Linked DNA regions of Drosophila melanogaster. The gene in region 3 interacts genetically with the main gene of each other region. Each region holds a gene or a part of one and is shown on either strand. Other genes may lie near its edges.

Region 1 (5,778 bases), 9.3 Mb from region 3:
AGCGCGACGATAGCGATTAAGAGGCAGTTGTTCACCCGTAGTTAAATGATTTTAAAACGCAATCTTTTCTGACAATGCATGCGTACATGTGTTTAGTGCAAATTACAATAATCAACAAGGACGCAGAGCCAGTTTTGATTCTCAGCCAAGTCGCACGGTCTTTGGTTCTAGCTGAATGGCAAAGTCAAAGGGTCTCCGGTTGTCGCGGGTGTCAAAGATGCTCTGCAGAGCGTCGAGTGCCGCAGTCTCTGTGGCTGTTTTCACATCTTCACCGAATCCCTTGCCCAGTAGCTGCCGGTTGGCGTAGATGCCTACTTGGTAGGCGGCTAGCACAGTGTTCTTTCCGCAGTCTCCAAGCAGGCGGGGCTCCGCTTCGCCCAGCTTTCGCTCCTGGCATATCTTCTCCAGCAGCTGGATTGGTTCCTGGGGAGTCCACACCTCCAACAGGTCCTTTTGATTCAGTTGCGTGCAGATGAAATCGCGTACAAAAATGAAAGCCCTCTCGATTCCACTGGAACTGGCCAGGGCGCCAATAACTGCGTGTAAAGATTTGGCCTGACTTTCGGCCGAGGGCGGGTATTCCGTAGACTGTATCAGATCCTTTGTGCCCAGGTGGGTCGAGACGTGAGCAAGCGTTTCGGTGCTAAGTAGATAACTGGCGATCGCCTGGAGTCCTTCATTAGGGACCTTCGGTAACTGGTGCTGCAGGAAGGCCTCAACGTAGGCACGGGCAATTTGTTGGCCCTTCTCGACCAGATCGCTATTGTGAGGCATCTGGAGGTCAGACTCCTCAATGCCTAGCTGCCGACGACGATCCTCCTCCCGCTCTGCAAACGATTTCTCTGTAAAAGCACGCTGCAGCTCCGACAATTCAAAGGATTCGCCCAAACGCTTGCCGAACGCGAAGAGCTCCGATCGCTGGTTCCACTCCACGAACCCAGAACGCCGCTCTGGCTTTTGTGGTCCTAGTTTCTTCTGCCGGTGGGCGAGCTCACGTAACGTTGGCGAAACCCATCGCTTGATGTGGCGCCTCGTTTGCACTGCCGAAAATCACGATTACTGACTGGCATTAGGTGAATCCGGGTTACTCACCAGTCGGTGAGCCCTCCAAGAGCTTGACACGAGCCAGGAGACCAACAGCACTGCGTAAGAATGACATCTTTAAAGCGATCTTAAAAATAAGTAACGAATATGTTTTCGCGCATGGGAACTAGTGTTGCACGGGTTTTTGTGGCAGTGATGGCAGTCTAACCGTAAATATAATTTTATAACTTATAACTTAACTTATACATTTTAATAATATTTGTTTCTTGTTGTTTCTATATTTATTCAGAGATGTATAATTAAAAAAAAATAATAATAACTAAATATGTTTCTTTATGAATTATAATTTTATCATTTAATCGAGTAATTATAACGAAAAATACTTTCAGCTTTTTATTTAGCGTTTTGTAGCTAAAAGGCGCCAGTACTAAATTGCGTTGGTGGCACCCGCTCGTTTTCCAACACTCCCGCAATAGACGCCATGTACATGTCTGTGTTTGTGTATGCGCCAAGAAAATTTAAGTCGCGGAATATTAACAAGGAATCCCTGCCAGAAACAGGGCATTGAGAGACCACAGAAGAAAATATACCCAACATGGCACTGCAGACATACGGGGACAAGCCGGTGGCCTTCCAGCTGGAGGAGGGCGGCGAGTACTACTACGTGGGCTCGGAAGTGGGCAACTACATGCGCCACTTCCGCGGCATTCTGTACAAGAAGTACCCGGGAATGACCCGCATCGTCCTGTCCAACGAGGAGCGCAAGCGGCTGGCTGAGTCCGGCCTCAGCTCCCACATCTTAGCCAGCTCTGTATCGCTGCTCCGCGCCGTAGAGGTGGATGATATCATGGCCGGCAACGATGAAAAGTAAGTGGGCGTCTTACCTAAGTAATGTCCCCAGAATAGTAACTAAATAGGGCCTTTCCTAAAAATTCCAATTAACTTCGTTGATATCTACTTCCTACTAGTCCTACTTAAACGTTTGTTTTTAAATGTTTAATCCAATGGTATCAAGTAATCCTTTTATCAAATATAAGACATGTGTACATTTGGCTGAAGATTCTTCATTTTAGTAACATTGTTAATGACCACTTAGTTAAAAACCACTTATCATTCTGAAGTGAAGACGTATACAAACACACATAGCCACACACTGCCCAGTTATTTTGAAAAAATATGGAAAAATGTCATAGACATTTTTGGCAAAGCTGCCACAATAGTCTGTATGATTGACAACGATTTCCAATTGAGCACGGAGAATTGTATTATTGTCAGAATGTTGGGTAAATTTTGCCTGCTTGCAGGGCCAATCAGTCAATTTGCTAACAGTTGATTTAACTAACCATGAATCTCCGTCCCAGGTATCGCGCCGTCTCCGTGAACACTTCCGATACGCCAGTGCCGCGGGAGAGCAAGTCAAAGAAGCAGCCACAGTATGTGCCCACGATGCCGAACTCCAGCCACCTGGACGCAGTGCCACAGGCCACGCCAATCAACCGAAACCGAGTGCACACGAAGAAGGTTCGCACATTCCCGATGTGTTTCGACGACACGGATCCCACGGCTAGCCTGGAGAATGCGGCGCAGAAGGAGTGCCTGGTGCCCATTCGACTGGACATGGAGCTAGAGGGTCAAAAGCTGCGCGACACCTTCACGTGGAACAAGAACGAGAGCATGATTACTCCGGAGCAGTTTGCCGAGGTGCTGTGCGACGACCTGGACCTCAATCCCCTGCCCTTTGTGCCGGCTATTGCACAGGCCATCCGACAGCAGATCGAAGCCTTTCCCAACGATCCCCCCATCCTCGAGGAGACCTGCGACCAGCGGGTCATTGTTAAGCTGAACATTCACGTGGGCAACACCTCGCTCGTCGACCAGGTCGAGTGGGACATGTCCGAGAAGAACAACAACCCCGAGGAGTTTGCCATTAAACTCTGTGCGGAATTGGGATTGGGAGGAGAGTTTGTTACGGCCATTGCCTACAGCATTAGGGGTCAGCTATCGTGGCACTGTCGAACGTACGCCTTCAGCGAGGCCCCTCTATCAACGATTGATGTGCCCTTCCGGAATCCCAGCGACGCTGACGCATGGGCGCCATTCCTAGAGACGCTTACCGACGCCGAAATGGAGAAGAAAATCCGCGACCAGGACCGCAACACGCGCAGAATGCGACGACTGGCCAATACCACAACTGGTTGGTGATCTTCCGCCGATCCAGCAATGTGTCACTAATGTAATCCTCCTATTAAGTACCATTATGCATCCCAAATAAATGTGTGTCTGTCGATTTTAAAACCTATTGTCTTCTACGCGCTACTTCCAAAAAAAATAGTTCCAAACGATGTTACAAAATAAGCTGATACTCTTTACTGCTTACGCTAAACTCGAATCCTTATTCTACATTATCCAATACTAACTTTCTGCCGAATCGGGCTTGTCTTGGTCCTGATCGCCGTCGTAGAACTCGTTCTTAGCATCAACCAGCTTGTCCTCATCGGCTACGGATATTCGCACGTCGGGATCACTCGCCTCCTCCCGGTTGCTGCGCAGCTCCTCCAAGTCCACATCAGGCGGGGTCTGCACCATTTGGACGCTGGGCGAGTGCTGGCACATCTTAAGGTTTTCATACACATGCTTAACGATGAGTTCAAGATACTGCTTTGAGTTAGCATTATCTTGGCGTGAGTTAATCTCTGGATGGAGTGTAAAGTCGGGGGCGAAAAAGTCGTAATACTCGGTGGCGGGTAGGTCATTTTCAATGTCTTGGTCCACCAGCAGCGAGGTCTCGTGCGTCCAGCAGCGGGCCACGTTCCGTAAGGTGTAGCCACCGCCTCCGACCACCAATGTGGGTACGTTCAGTTCCTTCACAAATTTGACACACTCACCATGTCCCTTGGTGCTCAGGGAGAAGCAACCTAGTCGATCTCCAGCTAGTGAATCCGCGCCACACTGCAAAACGATAGCCGTGGGCCGGTAGAAGTCCATAATGGCAGAAATTATGGGTTTGAACACCTGAAAATAGCTCTGGTCATCAATGCCCTCCTTTAGCGGCACATTAACGCTGTAGTATCGTCCCGATTCGGCGCCTATCTCGTACATGTCTCCCGTGCCGGGAAAAAAGTAGTTTCCGTATTTGTGGAACGAAGCCGTCATCACTCGGTCCGTAAGGTAGAACGCCTCCTGCACCCCGTCGCCGTGGTGCACATCGATGTCGATGTAGAGCACCCGAGGATGGTACTTAAGCAGCTCCAGAATGCCGATGACGATGTCATTCACGTAGCAGAATCCGCTTGCCTCGAACTTCTTGGCGTGATGCAGTCCGCCCGACCAGTTTATGCATATGTCGCTGTGGTTGTGGTTCAGCTTCTGGGCTCCCTCCAGCGAGGCACCCGTGTACATTGCACAGAAGTCGAAGAGGCCATCGAACACGGGACAGTCCTCGCCTACGCTGAAGTGCGCCAGGTACTTCGTATAGGCCACGGCTTAAGAACAGAAAATTATCAGATTATTCTAAATGTTATTCCAATTGGGCGACTTCCTCTTCAACTCACAATTGCACTGAATGTTTTGTGGAGTCACCTGCTGTAAGTAGGCGATGTACTCGTCGCTGTGGAAGCGGAGCATGTCCTGCGCACTGGCCCTGCAAAGAATTCCGGATTAGTATAATTTACGCGGCACAGACACACCTCTCCGCCAACTCACTTGTACGGCCTGTAGATCTTCATTTTCTTGTGCAGTCCGTAGTTCATTACCAGGCTGTGAGTGACCGCCAGGCGTTGCGGCTTCATGGGATGCCCGGCTCCATAGTGGAAGTTGCCCACGTCCGCGTTGTAGAAGTACGACACCCTACGGTCCGTCATCGCGCCAACTTCTCAATTGGATCGGTTATTGCAGGGACGCCGTAGTCCCCTAGTTGTGGACCAAATCCTCGCCGGGCAGCAGGTACGTCTTCGCATACAGGACAATCAGCAGAACGGCCACGATGAAAAGGAGTCGCCGGGTTGTGTCGTATTCGCCCAACAGCATGCCGCTCCCGTGGTCACCTTTGGGTACCTTTGTTTAATCGTGAGATATCAATTTGCTAACTTATTGCCAATTGAAGACAACTTAAAGCGGCGTGCGCCGATAGTGTACTAAAAATGGACATAGCTAGTGATGTACAAACGCACAGTCACGTCACGAGAGCATCCCTATGGTGATGCTATAATTTTTGTTCTGCTCAATTCACAAGTCTCTCTGTGCATGTGGTTTTATTTTATTTTTGGTCGATGTAAGGAAGGCTAGATGTTGTAAAATATACGTGTGTCTTTTAGTTTTCATTTAGGTTTATTTTTAAGCCTAATGTATTAAATGAAATAAATACACGAACGTACGCTTGCCAAAAAAAAAACCCGCCAGATATGACCGAAAGCCGCCGGGCCGGCAGCACTGTCCAGTTAGTTTATCTTCTATTTTGATTTTCTAATTCGACTCTGCTCGCGCTAATTTTCGTGATAGAGAATATTGGAATATTGGAATACGCGTATTGGAGTATTGGAATTGGAGAATGCAGTAATCAACAATAAAAGTCAGTGGACAAGGGAATGCAGAAAGTGTGTCAACTGGCTAAAAACGGCGAATCAGGAAGCGCTCCTTTGGGCAACCGATAAATCCGCCAGCCGAGCAAAATCGGAGCCAATTACGAAACCGCCATTGATTTTGGTTCCCATCAATATGTAAGTTGTGCCCCGGCTT
Region 2 (6,825 bases), on a different chromosome or scaffold from region 3:
GGAAAATCCAATTATTTAATATCCGTTAATCGAACAATCAAAGCAAAATTTATATAATACAATTTCTTTTCTAAAACCCCATTTAACATTAAGCACGTTGCACATCTTTTATTATTTTAAATACCCGATTTCCAGATATGATCAGCCCGGAAAAATAGTGAACTAAATATGCAGAGCAGTAAAAGTCAGGCTAACATAGAAGTTATTTTTCAAAATTTGAATAACGCGCCAATAAAAATCCCGCAACGCGATCGGCCGTAGTGGCAACGCCGCTGCCACTAAACTCCGACTCTCTCTTTGCGCCGTGTGGCCAGATGATTATGGCCTTTTTTTTTGCTCTTTCATCGCTCTCTCGATTTCGATCTCGTCACAGTGCCACTTGCGATCATTGTGTTACTTTGGAGTCGCTGAAAAATCGCGGGGATCGCATCGAATTGGCCTTGACTGCCGTGGGGTTGAGCTAGCCGTGAAAAAGACCGCAGAACCACGATAAATCTGTCGAAAAAGGTGACAAAAAGGAGGCTATACTGTCTTGCTGGCTGGCGTGCGTGTGTATGTGTGCGGCGGTGTGTGCAATTTTTTTCATCACCATTCCAGTCCGCGTGTGTTTTTCAGTGTGCAATCCCGCTGAGAATTTGCCCGAATCCTGCCCAACAGCAGGTGAGTGATGCCGGCCAATTGGCCCATTCGATTTGCAGCAGGTGCAGGGTTCAAAAGTTCGTGAACTTGCTTTTTAAGCCATTTCCTTTAGACCCCGTTTTCTCCATCGATATTGTAGCAGTCGAAAAGTAATGGAAAAAAAACGTGAGCAGCGACGTCGACGTTTTTGCCTCTTTCTCTCTCTGTTCCCCTGCCCCTCTCGCGCTCTCTTCCGCGCCTTCTCTTTGCGCGCGCAGCTGTCATCGCTGTCAGCAGCGCGCGCCGACGTCGGGTTCCCGCGCGCGGGAAATCATCAAGTTCAATCGATTCTAATTTGGCCGAATTGAACGGGATTTTCGATTTTAGTGAAAAATCAGATTCTGCGAGTTTTGATCTTTCAATTGGTTATAGGCACGCATGGTTTTTCATTTAGCTTACCTGATTTATAAGCGCTCGAAGTTGGTGCCAAAAATGCTCGAATGTTAATCGATGAAAACAACAAAGTGGCAGTGGTTTGTTTGGTTTCAAAGCAGCGTTACCACCTAGTTCGACCTCAGTCATCTTGTCATATGTTATTTGGCTGCAGTTCATAAAAACTACTAGAAAAGCATATTAAACCATGTAATTTCAGGCTTCTGAAGAATAAATAAATAATTAAAATTTTAAAGATTTATGAATACCCTTCAAGATAAATTTATTTTAACCTTGAATTGATTTTGGAGCGCTTTAAAAATATATTAAAAAAAATAGTTTCATATTAAAATTTAAATATTTATTTTCTGAAGGTCATATTTGAATTAAAATTGGCATATGACATAGAAATAAATCTTAGGTATTTATATATAACCACGATATATCCGACTAAATCCGCCCTTCTGGCATCCTCGTCAGCTGTTTTTCGACCACCCAGCTGACTGGACGTCGAACCTCCAATTGTAGTCTGACTAGCCTGTTGGGGACTGGGGACTCCAATTGCAGACTCCATTCAATAAAATGCCAAGCTTGCCACCAGCGGCTTCATCGCCCCGTCTCGCTTTCTCACGCTCTGTTCTTTGCGCTGGAGATGCTCGCCCCATCTCCGTCCCTCCCCTAGAGTACAACAAAGTTGCCCCCTGTGTTTGTTGCATTTTTTGGCGCTTCGGATCCGCCTGTTTTGGCGCGTTCCTCATGCACACTCGCCGCAGTCGACGTCGCTGCTTTTGATACCCAGTTCCACCAATTTTTTTTTCGGTTCCAAAGCGATCACTTTGCTGCCGCCGCTCCGCTGCTCGTGAAGTTTTTTCGTGGCCGGCGACGACGACGACGAAAAACTCTCGAAAAACGTTGTTCAATTCCCTTTAAGAAAAACAAGTGAAAACACCGGGGATATTATGTTAAGCATTTTTCCGCTTACTAGAAGGTAAAACCAATTGCACAATGGTTTTAGTGGATAAAAGGCAATACGTTATTCAGAGTGGAATAAAATTTATGACGCGTGTGCGGTGACAAGTGTGTGTGGAACAGTGAAGGAAAGAGCGGGAGAGAATGCTGCGTTTGCCGTCGTGTCTTTGCATTTTTTGCTACAAATACAACATCCTCTTATAAGAAAATTGACACGCTGTAGGATTTAACCGTTGCTTTCTGATTGGCAAGAGACGGGGTGTCCAACTACAAATTGTCTCCCCCACACAGTGTTTTAGTGTTCCCCCTATAAGGAAAAGTGTCCTATTAGAATTAAACCGTTATCCAATGGGAACAAATTGGAAAATCCTATGAAATAAATGAAAGCTTCTAATCACGTCTAAAAGTGCACTGAGTTTCTAATGCGTAACGGGAGTTCAGTGAACTATTACAGCTTTTCTTACTATAGAAGGCTTGAGATGCAGCTTATGGTTTACCCTGCTGTTTGGGCCAACTTTCTAATCTTTCTCCCGCCCGAATTGCACTTTTTCCCGCCATTCGCATAGATTTTGGGCGGTAAAACAAAACTGCCCCAGCCCAAACGCCTAATTCGCGCCACTTTGCGTTTCTCCATTCTTTTCCCATGCTCATTTCATTTTTATACGCTTCCTCCAATGACACACACACAAGCACAAACTTGGAAGAAATGCGCTCGCTAAGAGAGAGAGTAAGCTCTCTTTCTCTCGCTCTCTTCCGTTTTATTCCAATCAGAACAGCGAGTCAAGTTATTTTCCCCTTCCCAACACCAACAACAAACAAAAACGTTTTAGTACTGCGCTCTAAAACGGAAAAAAAGAGAGCATTTGACTGCGACGTCGAAAAAATTCGGAAAATCGCCGATCAGTCGACGGACCTTTCGAAAACTTGACGAACACGAAGCAGAGGTTCAAAGCAAAATGGAGTAAACGAGTGAAGAACAAAATAATGAATTATGTCAAAAGTGGCGCAAATATCTTTGGTACACGAAGAAAAAGATTGGTAGTGGCATTTAGCCCTTACCCACAATCTACGTACATACATATGTATGTATGTTTACATATGTAGAATTAATAATAGTATTTTAATTATTGTAAAATCGTGGTTATATTTATTTTTGTGAGTAGTTACTCTATGTACGTGCTCCCAACCAATGAGTGAGCGAGATAGACTGCCAAGTGGAGAATGGAGTTCATTGATATTTCTCGGCGTTTTGCTTTCGCTTCCCCTTCGTCTCCACCTTGCTTCGCGCCATCTTCGTTCTTTCCTCTTCTCCTCTGCTTCCATTTACCTGCCACATTCATTTTGTTGTTGTTTTCTTCGCAATTTTTGCTTTCTTCTTTATTTTTTGCATTCTTTTGACGTTTTTTAGTTTGCGTGTTCGCTTTTTGCGCCGTTAAACTTTTGGAGCGATCGCGGCGGGGGTGTGCGTGGGGGGTGGGTGGTGTATTGTTGATGGGGTGGATTTTTGTATACTTAATTTTTCGATTATGTCATGATCGTGCCGAAAATCAGCCGCTTATGTTTAGATTTGGCCAGTTTAAACCATGGGGAAATAAATTGTTTTTCTTAGAAGTGATTTTGAAAAAAGTAAGAGCATCAAGTTTTTGATGATTCAGTGTCGTGAATTTTGTATATTTTCCCAACATTTTCTTTTGTTTGACCCACCTAAACACTCCTTATATGATCTATTCAAATCCTAGTCAACACCTTTCAATTCTGCTCATGATCCTCCAAGTGCTTGCCACCTTCGAAAGCGGTATGTCATCAAAGGATTTTCTAGACGAGATGGGAACCCAAACTGATCTCGAATATTTTCTCATCATATGTACATACATACGTAAATGGTTATAGGAATCCACACATATCAACTGGCCATATTAACCCGAATTCCTAGTAAAATACCAACAATATTTCTCAATTACAAGTGCGGAATGTTTTACAAATATTACATGTTCTCCAAAAGGATGAGTTGTGAATAGTAACTCCTTAAATAAATGGTTCATATGTACATATGTATGTATATGTGGGCATTTTTTTTTTATAGTCCATACACATTTTTGTCGCTGCGGCAGAAGAATCCGATTCGGAATCGGAATGAGGTGAAGCCGTATGTATGAGGAGCAGAAACAACAATGATAAACAGTTTCCAGTTATTCCCAGACAAACAAAGGATAGTCCGTCCGACTGGCGATTTGTGGAGCGGGGAAGAGACAGGACGCAGGCCACTTGAGCTAGCTGACTCGCTGTGGGCATCCTTTTAGACGCTGCTAAATATAAACTAAATAGTCAATTGAGCGCGTCCCGATGTCCTAACGGCTACTTCAAGGCCATCGATTCTTGGAACTGGAACGCCGCCGTCGCCATCGCCGCCGCTGCCGCTCCATTCAAGAACTTTGATTTGTTCTCCTCCATCGGCTGGGCCGACTTTACTTTCACACGCCGTTTTGCCCAGGCGGCGCTCTTTAGATACCCGGCACACAGATACTCAGATACTCGGACTCACAGATACACTGATGCGCGCAGGCGAGGATCGACTTTCCTGTTCTCGTTTGCAGTACCCTGTAGTTCTGGGTAGGGTGGGCATATGCGACTGAAGCAACACAGCAAACTTGGGCCAATTGACCATTAGAATTTAAACGCATTCATGAGTATGAAAAGGAAGCATCAAAGATCGGGTTCAATTCAATGATGCTTATAAAGCAATCTTCGTGTATTGGTTTAAACTTTTAGTAGTATTATTTATAGTTTCATATTATGCAAATATGATTAGGCTTTCGATTTGAGAAAATATCTTCCTAATGAACTTCACCCTCTTACCCTATCAGCATTATGTAGCTATGTTGTTACACAACTCCTGCAGACTTTCGGTCCACCGAGTTCCAACTAATTGCAAGAGTGGTGGCCAAACCACAACAATGGAGAGGAGGCGGCATTGGCATGGACAACGCCACAAATGCCCAGATGCATGTGCATTTTTATCTCGAGTATCTCAGGAATGTATCTCGCCGCATGTGCAGAGGAGCCCAAAATGCAGCCCAAAAAGGACGCACAAAAATTGCAGGCCCAGACAGTTGAAGACGCCGGATAACTCGAGACCTGTTTTCCCTCTACATATGTACATATGTATATAGTCTGGCATATACTCGAGATACATACATATTTGTATATAATTTTTTTTGCGCTCTTCTTTGCGCATTTTGCGCATTCTTCTTTGCATTGCCTCAAGTTGCATTTCATATTGTATCTCGAGACTTGGTCCCATTTCCTTGTGGGAAATCTTCCGCACAAAGCAAATATTCCGAAGATGAGGGAAAAAAATACGGTCGACTTTATTTTCGACACTCGGTTTTCCAGTTAAATGACCTTGAAGGACCCCGTCCAGGTAAACAGATTCACTCATGCATCGTACACCTTTAATTAGGCGCTGTGCGCAAAGGAAACCCCCGAGTTTATCCGCTCGATCCGCGGCATTATTCATATTTGTATACCTGTCGCCGCGGATTTCGCCCGAACTCGCAGCCTTCTTCACTTAATCTTCATTAGAGGAAGTTGCAGCCGCAGCCTGCGTGTGGGCAGTTCCTGCAATTAGGTAGGAATCTATCTTAGTCACTGGTATTTGGACAAGAATTGGATTGCTCTAGCGATAATACAGTCATTTGTTTGCCAAGAGCCGCTGTCAACTGTTTTGTAAAACTAAAGGATATTATCGCATCCTTATTAACGAATATTAATTTTAGGACGTTTTGTGATTTACAAAAAAGATTACATTAATCCGACTATAAATGATGTTAGATGTGTAACATGATTACAACTGAGAGATAAATGTCTATTCTATTGCGTTTTTAGGTTTCTGCTGTATCTTAAAGATACAAATTGTTTCATAATGTTTTTTGAGCTCGAATATTTACAAAACCCAGATCTTTATATTGGGATTACGATTTAAATGATGATCTTATTAATTGTTTTAAGATTTTTAACATATTCTTAAATGACCAAAGAGACTTATTTTTCTGTGTAAGGAAATTTCTTTGTTGTAAGTAGAATAGTTAGGGGGTTGAAAACTAAGAAAGCAAAAATGCTCTAAAAGGACTTCGGGGAAGCAGAGGGAACCCAATTAATTAGAAGGCATATCCGCAATTAGTGTGAAAATGATGGTTGGAAACAGCAAAATATTGTGCATGAGAAAAGGCCGGAAAACGCAAAAGAAAAGCGAGGCAAAAAGTGAGGAAAATAGACAATCCGTTGCGTAAGAACAAGAAAGTAGGGGAAAGAAAGTCGTTGGCTAAAAAGCATTCGCATATGGGGTAGGAAAAAAAGGTGTCGAACTGAATGGTAGGCCGAAGGGAGGTCCATAAATCGTGGCGAATATAACGCCAGGCCCATATGTCACACGGAAAAAGGAAAATAAATGAAGGAAGAAAGGAAGCGAGGAGGGGAGGGAGGGGTAGGGCTAGGGGAAAAGGAAACGCGACAGGATACAATTAGCGAGGGGGAAGTCAATTGAAGTTACAAAAGCAACAGCAGAGACATTGCCAGAATCCTTTTAGTTGGGGTAGGATCTTCAACAGCTGCCACTCCACTCCCCTTCTCCAATCCCATCGACTCTACTCACCTGCCCCGCATCGCATCGAACCCATACTTACAGTTCTAACAGAAGGTCAGCGATCAACTCTAGCCACAACAGGTGCAACAGGGGCACTAAGGACTCGGCTCCTCGATATAATTAAGCGTTGTAAACCACTAGAAAATGCGGACGTTGCGCATGCG
Region 3 (8,617 bases):
ATGCGGTGCTGCGAGGAGCGACTAAAGTTCGCTTATGTATCTGTCAGATACATTATGTGCCCATGTGCCTATCTTTGGCCAACGAGTGTCGCTGTTGCAGTTGCTGGTACTGCAAGTGCTGCAAATGCTGCTGCCGCTGATCGCAAGTGCAAAAGAAAATATTTTTTAACGCTTTGGGCCGCGTACAGCAAGCAAACTAGAAAATGTTGCTGCTGGCAAAGCCGCGCGTTGCATTCATGCGCGTAATCAAATTGTAATCACGGCTTCAACTTCGACTGCAGCAGGGAGCAGCAGTCGCAGCAGCAGCAACTGCAACAGCAGCAACAACAATTTCTACTTGCCTGTTGTTGCTGTTGTTAAGTGGAAATACTTGTTGCACAAATGCAATGCATGCTGCATGTTGTTGTTGCTGCTGATGCCGCTGCCGTGTATCTGCATCTGTTGCCCGCGTACAGTGGTTATTGCCTAAGTGCCACTGCTGTTGCAATTTAAAATGTTACTACAATAACGTAAACTGAAATATGTATTAGCGTATTCATTGAAACATTTCATCTATCTTTTACGCTCGCTACTTGTACATTTGAATCAGTTTGGGTGCAATAAAGACTGTTTTGCAATCTTTTGACATTGTTTTTATGGCATTTATCACTGTAGGTGCAGCAGCAGCAAACGGCAATTGCATCTGCATTCTTTCCACTTTTCTTGCTGCCGCTGTTGTTGCTGCATTGCCTTGTGCAATTTATTAAATGAAAAATGCCGTTTTGCAGCTTTCCAAGTTGCTATACATGTACAGACCAGCGCATATATATATATATCTATATATATGTACGAATAGTTATACTTATATATGCATGTATCTTTATACATACGCGTATGGATGTGCTGGCATCTTTCGCCGCAAAAGCCAAATTGAATTTTATGCAAATTTTTTTAGCTCGTTTTGAGTCGGATAGAAATCGCCACATCTAATGCACAATGCCTGGCAGCACACGCATTCACGCCTCTCCCCTATTTTGCAGCTCTTGTTTCGATCGCCCGATTTGCGTTCTTTATGCAATTGGCCGATCCAGCAATCCAGCAATCCAGCAATCCGGCCATCCGGCGATCCATCGAAATCGAACCAACCGCTCGATTGTCCGCTCTCGAATTAAAATGCCACAGGTGGAATTAGAACGCAACAATCTGGTTGGGACTAGAGTACACAGCGAGAAATATGGCAACATACTGATGATAAGGTTAAGTTAATGTAGTAAGATATACCAATGAACTGACTCATTTATTAGAATACCGTTGCACCGTTTCTTGCGGTGCACCTATTGCTTTTTTATATCTTTTTCTGTGCTACCGATCGGATGCAGATACTCAAGTACAGCCCCCGCCGCTGGCGCCACTCTGTCCGACTTATGACAGCGATCGTTAACCGCTTTCGCTAGGCCTTTTTGGCGGCGATTTGAGTTTATGTAAAACAAACGAGTTCGAATCACTATCCCAACTGGTAGCCAAACGATTTTGTTGCTATTTCATACTTTGATTTTTTCCCCGTGCTTTTTTGGTTATTTCTTTTTTTTGTAGCTCCTATGAATAGATCGAAATACTGTCACCAAACACGTTTTCTGTCTAAAAACGCACACGAAAAATATTCCACTATGTCGCCGCCTTGTTTATGGCTAAACAATTGGTAAAAAAAATAATACACAAAAACTTGCGAAAAAATATGAGCAACGAAAGAAGAAGACGGGCGTCGAAAAAATGCCAAATCGCATGGCCAAGTCAAGTCGTTGTTAACTTTTGTTTATACAAAAAACAAAAGAGAGCCAACAGCAACGAAAATCACAAAAAATACCGCCCGTCGAAATGCTGTATGAACATTTACTTAAGTTGAATACGCTGCGAATTTTAAAATCCATTATTTTGATCAGTCATTTTATTAGTTTACAGACAAAAGTCATCTAATTAATTGATTGAATCTTACACGATTTACTATCTAATGAGGATAATGCCTAAACTTAAGCCGAATTTGAAAATTATAGACATTACAAACAGAATCTACTGTTAAACTATTGCAAACATGTTTATTTAATTTTAGAAAACCTTAGAAAAACCTGCGTCAAAGCCGGCCCAAGCAATTATCGGTAAAATATTTCAAGGGTATCGATAATTCGACCTTGCATGCTCATATTGGAATAGATATTTATTTTTTCTGTGATTTCTGTTGGCTGTGCTCGAAACGTGGCGAGGCCTTTAAAGGTTGCCCGAGGCCTGGCTCGCTTCGCTTTATTGTAGAAATTTATTTATGGTTTATTGGAATTTTTGCGCGCTACCGGCAGCAATTTTGAAAATTCAATAGCAATAGCAAGTTGGATGCGGGGGATCGATAGACAGCCGAAGAGGGGACCAAAAAGCGTATATGATTTGGATACAAAATATGCGCGACTGGGCAAAATACCAATAAGGGGTGTATACAGCATTAAATAGTTTTGTTTGGTCAATAGAAATGGTAAAACTATTTTGGAAAAATATGGAATAGTTAGTTAAATTCGAAGACATACTTTGCAGATGTATACAGAAAATACCAATAAAACATTTACTCTTGTTTTTATTTCTTATATTCTATGGTATCCCTCTTCATAATCTGATTGGTTTTTCAAATAGTAAGTAAATCCCCTAAGGTCATTTAAGCTTTAAATTTCTATAACCCCGAAATCGGAACGTAACGCTCATAGATCGCTGACTTTTTGTGCCCACTGGCAGACATTTGAACGACATGTGTGCATTTATAATCTACTTGATGCATAACCCTAGCAAATGCGCAGATGTTTCGTTTCAATTTCAAAGGCGGGCGGGCGGAAGAGCTGAAATTCCACAACGCTTAATTCAGTGAAACATTTTCAACAATGTCCATGCGATTTGAAACAAACAAAGGGAATGTTTGTGTTAATTGAAAGCGTGAAGCGCACACAGCACCAAACGAACTGAAACAATAAGGCGTACACAGATAGAAATGCACTGGAAAAAATTAATATTCAAGCTTTGATGGCTTAATAAATCATTTGCAACGTGATATTGAAATTATAGAGTGTGTCTAATGTCAATGAAAATGCTGTACAACTGCAGAAAGGCAATAAGCATTTGCTATCGAGCAATTGAAGATACAAAATCCATCTAACACTACACATTTCTCTATCTGTGAAAAGCGAAAAATTGAACTCAGCGAAAGAGAGGGCGAAGAATTTCAGAAATCAATTATTTCGAAACTGCAAAAATTCCTACGTACATTTTGCAATTGTTTATGGGCAAAGCAACAGACAGAGATGGCGAGTGGGGCGGCAGCGAGGGGCGCGAGCGAGATGGAAGACAAAAAATGTGAGCGAACGGCAAACTAAAATGTATCTATGAGATACATGGCCTGATCGCCAGCGCTCTCGCTCGCTCTCCTTTGGCTCTCTCGCACTCATTACGTATGAGTTTGTTGGTTTTGTTTTCCTTTTATTTTACAGATCATTCGCCGAGCTTTATTTAACTTTTGCTCTCTCTCACTCGAATTTTTGTTGTTGTATTTCCCTGGCTTTACAATCCATTTTTTGTTTGTTGCCACTCTCTGTTCAGTTCAGTTATATTCGGAGTCTTAATCATCGCATCGGAATGTTTACTCCAAGTTTTTCCCCCGTTCCGTTGCGTTTTGTTTTGCCTGCTGCCGCTGCTGTCTTGTTTAAAATATGTAATTTATTTTGCTGCTGCCTCTTTATTTTATTTTCCTTTTATTTTTCTTTTTTTTTTTTGCTTCATTTCGCCTCCACCGATCGCATTCCTTTACACACACAGCTGCAGCACGCACCTTTTCTTTCCGGTTCAAGAGCGCTTCGGAATCGGAATTTATATGGGTTTTTTTTTTAGCTCGTTTGCCGGAGCTTCCTGAATGAGTGAACTGCTGATCTCTCACCTGCGTTTTATGCCTTCTTAAGCCACTAACAACTTGCCAAGAATTTTATTCTATTTTAATTTGATTCTCAATGAGTTATCTGCTTCACTTATTAGCCATTAAGCAGCAATTGGGGTTTATAAGCACTCTTGATAGTTTGCGATGTTAAAGCATCTATAACTTATTTAAAACACAACCTGTTGGTTTGGTCATTCGTTATGTATGCCTCATTTCTGATAATTGTTCTAGTAGTTTTAATAAGTTTAAACTAACTTTCCAAATGCAAATATCTTATAATTATATTTCAGATCGCCCTTGTTTCAATTTCGTTTCTTTAATTGACCCTTTCCGGAACACTTACCAATCTCTGGGATCCAGCCAGGTGGTCTTCTTGTTGATATGATCTATGTAATAGGTCTTGCCATCGAAATCCTTGGCGATATCCCAGCCATCGGGAAGTGGGAAGTCGCTGTGGTGTTGTTGCTGCTGCTGATGATGCGTGTGTTGTTGTTGTTGCTGTTGTTGATGATGATGATGATGTTGCTGTTGCTGCTGTTGGGGTCGCAGGTGGTGGGGATGCAGATGATGCTGCGATTGCGATGCGGTTTGTTGCAGATTCGGCATTTTAACTTTGTTTCTCGCCGTGTACTTTGGTTAGTCTGAGAAAACGTCGTTGTTGCTGGATTTTTCACCCGACGCGCGCCTTTTCTTTCTTTTCGCTATTGCTATCTACGTTTGCTTCTTTTTTCGGGGGGTTTCTCTTTGCGCTGTTTACATTAGCAAAGACATTTCAATTCCGTTTCTTTTGCTCCGGCGATAATGGAGACCGACCCGCACACACACACACACAACACGGCCACACGGTGACGGGCGTAGAGGCACACACCGAGCCAACTCGAATACACACGCGCGCAGGGGAGAGAGAGCGGGAGAGCGCGGGCGCGCTCTCAATTATTTATTTACTTTTTTCGTAACTGCATTCCATTCCAGCTCAAACACACGCACACATATGGGGGACGAACACAAGCGCACACGATCACTGCTCACAGTTGGTGCTGCTTCTTTTCATTTCTTGTTGTTGCAAGCGTTTGAACTCCTTTACTTATTTTCTTATTTTCGCCTAATTGAAACTAATTAACGACGATAATCCAACCATCCACTTGGTGTTCACAAAAAAATATGTACTTCAGTTTAGTGAGTTCGCGCCGTCGCCGATCTCTTCGGTTCCGGAATTCCTTGGGGGAGCAGCAAAAAACACGAGTAGCGCGCTTGATGACCGTCCGATTCGGATTCGGAATTTGTTTTGGTAACATTCGCTGCTAGTGGTGTAGCAGAAAACATCGCATTGCATATCGATACACTCGCGGCGATGTTATTCGATGTATTGGTTGATATCGATATTATAGGCTGTATTGACGCGGTTGCAGAGATGCGATATTTAACAATCATGCACGAAAAGTATTTATTGTTATTTGGCTTGTGTAGTCCCCAAGCATAGGTGTAATTGTTGAGGGAAGAAAATAGGAGTTGTACGTTCAAAGATCGGCTTGGTAACAGGAACTAGTTCGGTTCTTCAAGCGATGTTAATCAAAGCCAGTTCCGATAGATCATGTTAACTCGCTCTGTTAACAATTACTGTTATCTTAATCCTAACATTTCCGTTACATTTTAAAAACAGAAAAAGAAAAAATTTAAAAAAAAAGACTGTAAACTGAGTTACGCATTTCGAAATCAATATGTATCCCAACCATAGATAGAAAAATAAATTATGTTTCCGAAACATAACTTCAATAAAACCACAATTTCGCTTGCTTTGTACGTTTGATATTGTATTTGCATTTTATGAATTGTAAAAATTGAGTCAACAAGACTAACACAGCTTCAGCTCAAGACACATGCAATTTCATTGACATTGTTTAATTGTATATATTAAAGGAAATCAATTAGGATATAAAGAGAGAAACCTTTTTGCCGCTTATGCGATGCCAACTATCTGGATCTGGATTGTCTAACACGAAACCCTAACTAATTGGTAAATTAAACATAAATTAATCATATCGGTCAACAACTACAACTAAATATTAGTTATTAGCGGATAAAGAGCGCCCCATAAACTATTTACACTAAGCTTTAGTCTACTAGAGTCCCGGATTCCATCTCCGCTCCTCGGATCTTCGGATCTTAACTCAGATGTTCGGATCTTCAAGTTCTAGGAGAGAACTGGTGCAGTGCATCCGTTATTCAGGCGATACTCGGCATAGACCAGTCCGGTGTTGTGCCAGTGATAGAAGGCGGCCACGATGATCAGGTGCCACCAGTTGTGCGAATGCCCAACGAAGTCCACCTTGCCGGTGAACCAGCGCTCCGGAATCTTGGCCGCATAGAAAACGAAGGCGACGAGGCAGAGCAAGTACATGAGCACGATGCGGGGCACCATCAGCTGCAAATGGTAATGATTGATGGATTAGCAAATGACAAGATTCCATAAATTTCCAACTGATGCCTACCCTGACTAGCTCGTTCTCCAGACCGCCCATGGCCACCGCCCAGTGGCCCAGAGGTATGATTCCATAGGCAGACCAGAGTAGCAGCACCGCCACCTTGCCGTTCATGGACACATTCAAACGGGGTATCTGCACGGCAATGGCCAGTGCGAACATGCCCAGTGCAATCGTGGAGTACAGGGTGCGCAGGAAGGTGTGGCACCAGAAGGCATAGTACATGCCACTGATATAGATGGCCACCAGCGACAGCGAAATGCCCAGGAAGTCAACGGACAGAAAGAGCTCGTAGTGCTCCTCCGATTTGCAGGAGAAGATGTGGTATATGGCGGACATCAGCATGCACAGACAGAAGCAGACCAGCAGGCAGACCACCAGCACCTGGTCGCTCAGGGAGGCGTGGAGGCGCAGGAACTGCAGATCGAAGATGGTCAGTCCAATGAACAGGATGCAACCGGCCAGATGGCTCCAGATGTTGATCTATGAAAAATATAGCAATAATAATGTTATAATAATAGGGAATAGAGTTTAAGGAAAACTATTGTAGCTCCAATTGGAATGGAGTATCATTCTAGTGTGGCAATCTTACCGTCTCATTGGTCCACCAGAAAATGCTCTGCAGGCACATTTTTGTGGAAGGTAGAAAGGTGCGGTATCCGCGACGAATGTACGGGTTGAACTTCAGGTGACTGGGGGCCTGTATCGAAAGCACAAGTGAATAAACATTCCAAATAAATACAAAATTTTCCAAGCCGATAAGACATGCAAATCGCATGCGTGTAGCATTGAAAATAAAATAAAAACCAAATAGACAAAATGACAAAATAAAATAGAAACAAACGGAATAATTCGAGGATCTGGCACCCCGCCGAATGTAAAAAAAAAAAACCAAAAAGCTTTCCATTTGCTTCAATTGAAAGAAAATAAAACTAATTAATCCAATTTGTGTTGTTAGCAATCTTGTATGGGAATTGATTAAATGCCAAATACTGTGTATATTATTTACTTTCTTTGAATTTAACTAGCTAAGTTTTATATATTATAAAAAATCCATTTAATTAGTTAAACAAGTGCTAAGCTAGTTTTGCACTGCATTTATGTATTATTACCTTAATTAATGCCTTTCAATCGGAAACAGTAATTATTTCAAGCCCGTTTTAAGCCCAGTTCGAAGTCGAATATTTAACTTGGTCAAAACTAAGCATGGTCCGAAAAACCCAAGAAATTCGATTCGGGAGTTACCTTGAGGATTTTCACAAACATATATGTATGTAACTTGCATACCACCCAAAGAAAACAACAGTAGCTTCTTTTTATTTGCCACCGCTATTTAAATATTTAATGCCCGCGAAGCACAGAGCTTTTTATTTGTTGCTAGTCGCGACCTTGATTCAGTTGGCATTTGGTGGGTTTGTTCGTTGTCTAATTGTATTATTTGGCAATTGCTGCCAACTCGACCGCCATGGCGGATTTCACATATTTAAGCGTTTTGGCCATTTTACAACGGTCGCTTAATAATGCTTTTCTGGCCATACATACATACGTATGACGATAACAATTGGCCAAAATCAGTGTTAAAGCCATGTAAAATGCAATGAGTGAATATTTTCTGCGATTTGTCCCTGATTCTGACGTATTTTTTCAATTCGCCAAACAAAATTTGCGATCAATTAGAATTCAGTGCGCGACAATTGGCGACAAATTGACCCTACCAAAGTTCGCGCGTGGGGTTAACTCACATCATCGAAATTGCACAGCCATTTGAATTTGGACAGCTTGTCGTCGTAGTTGGGTCCATGCCCCAGAATATTGGGCTCCTCATTGGACGGAAATTGATGCGCTGCGTCCACCGAATCCGCAACCAGTTGGCCATCAAGCTGCGAAAAGAGATTTAAGATGGAATTAGTTAAAATGGAGGAAACCCTATCGATTAGCGGCAATTCGAAACTTAATTTGAATTGAGGACAAGAACGATGCTCAAGATCTATACTCATATTCTTCCGCCTTAGAAAACTGACGTTGGCAACTGGCGGGTTTGTTTCTCTGCACATTTGTGTATATTTTTAGCCAATAGAGCAACTGCAGTCGAAAAATTGATTTGTTTGCTTTTATTTTATTATTATCTTTTCTGCGGTTTCTGCTATTTTATACGTTGTTGTTGTTGTTGTTGTTTTCGTCTGGGGGTTTTCGGTTTCGT

The links. A genetic interaction does not mean that the proteins touch.
Region 1: of kibra (region 3) and Snr1, changing one suppresses a phenotype caused by changing the other (phenotypic suppression), as found in Drosophila melanogaster (one study listed by BioGRID).
Region 2: of kibra (region 3) and CycE, changing one suppresses a phenotype caused by changing the other (phenotypic suppression), as found in Drosophila melanogaster (2 studies listed by BioGRID).

The regions. Positions count from the first base shown.
Region 1 is NT_033777.3:5,469,420-5,475,197, forward strand, and holds Snr1 (Snf5-related 1), read left to right. Parts: upstream 1-1,506; 5' UTR 1,507-1,639; coding exon 1,640-1,911; intron 1,912-2,405; coding exon 2,406-3,246; 3' UTR 3,247-3,335; downstream 3,336-5,778. Other genes in the region: POLDIP2 (polymerase (DNA-directed), delta interacting protein 2), read left to right, coding at 1-20; mRpL44 (mitochondrial ribosomal protein L44), read right to left, coding at 142-1,040, 1,093-1,159; HDAC3 (histone deacetylase 3), read right to left, coding at 3,457-4,526, 4,596-4,684, 4,747-4,904; CG45100 (uncharacterized protein), read right to left, coding at 4,954-5,070.
Region 2 is NT_033779.5:15,741,668-15,748,492, reverse strand, and holds the start of CycE (cyclin E), read left to right. Parts: upstream 1-1,882; 5' UTR 1,883-2,009; coding exon 2,010-2,038; exon of another isoform or gene 2,039-2,236; intron 2,237-2,849; exon of another isoform or gene 2,850-3,101; intron 3,102-6,825. UniProt on the Drosophila melanogaster protein: Essential for the control of the cell cycle at the G1/S (start) transition. Targeted by archipelago for degradation by the SFC ubiquitin ligase complex.
Region 3 is NT_033777.3:14,719,031-14,727,647, forward strand, and holds the start of kibra (kibra), read right to left. Parts: upstream 5,232-8,617; 5' UTR 4,544-5,231; coding exon 4,281-4,543; intron 1-4,280. Other genes in the region: CG7530 (uncharacterized protein), read right to left, coding at 6,129-6,359, 6,427-6,900, 7,010-7,117, 8,160-8,297. UniProt on the Drosophila melanogaster protein: Regulator of the Hippo/SWH (Sav/Wts/Hpo) signaling pathway, a signaling pathway that plays a pivotal role in organ size control and tumor suppression by restricting proliferation and promoting apoptosis.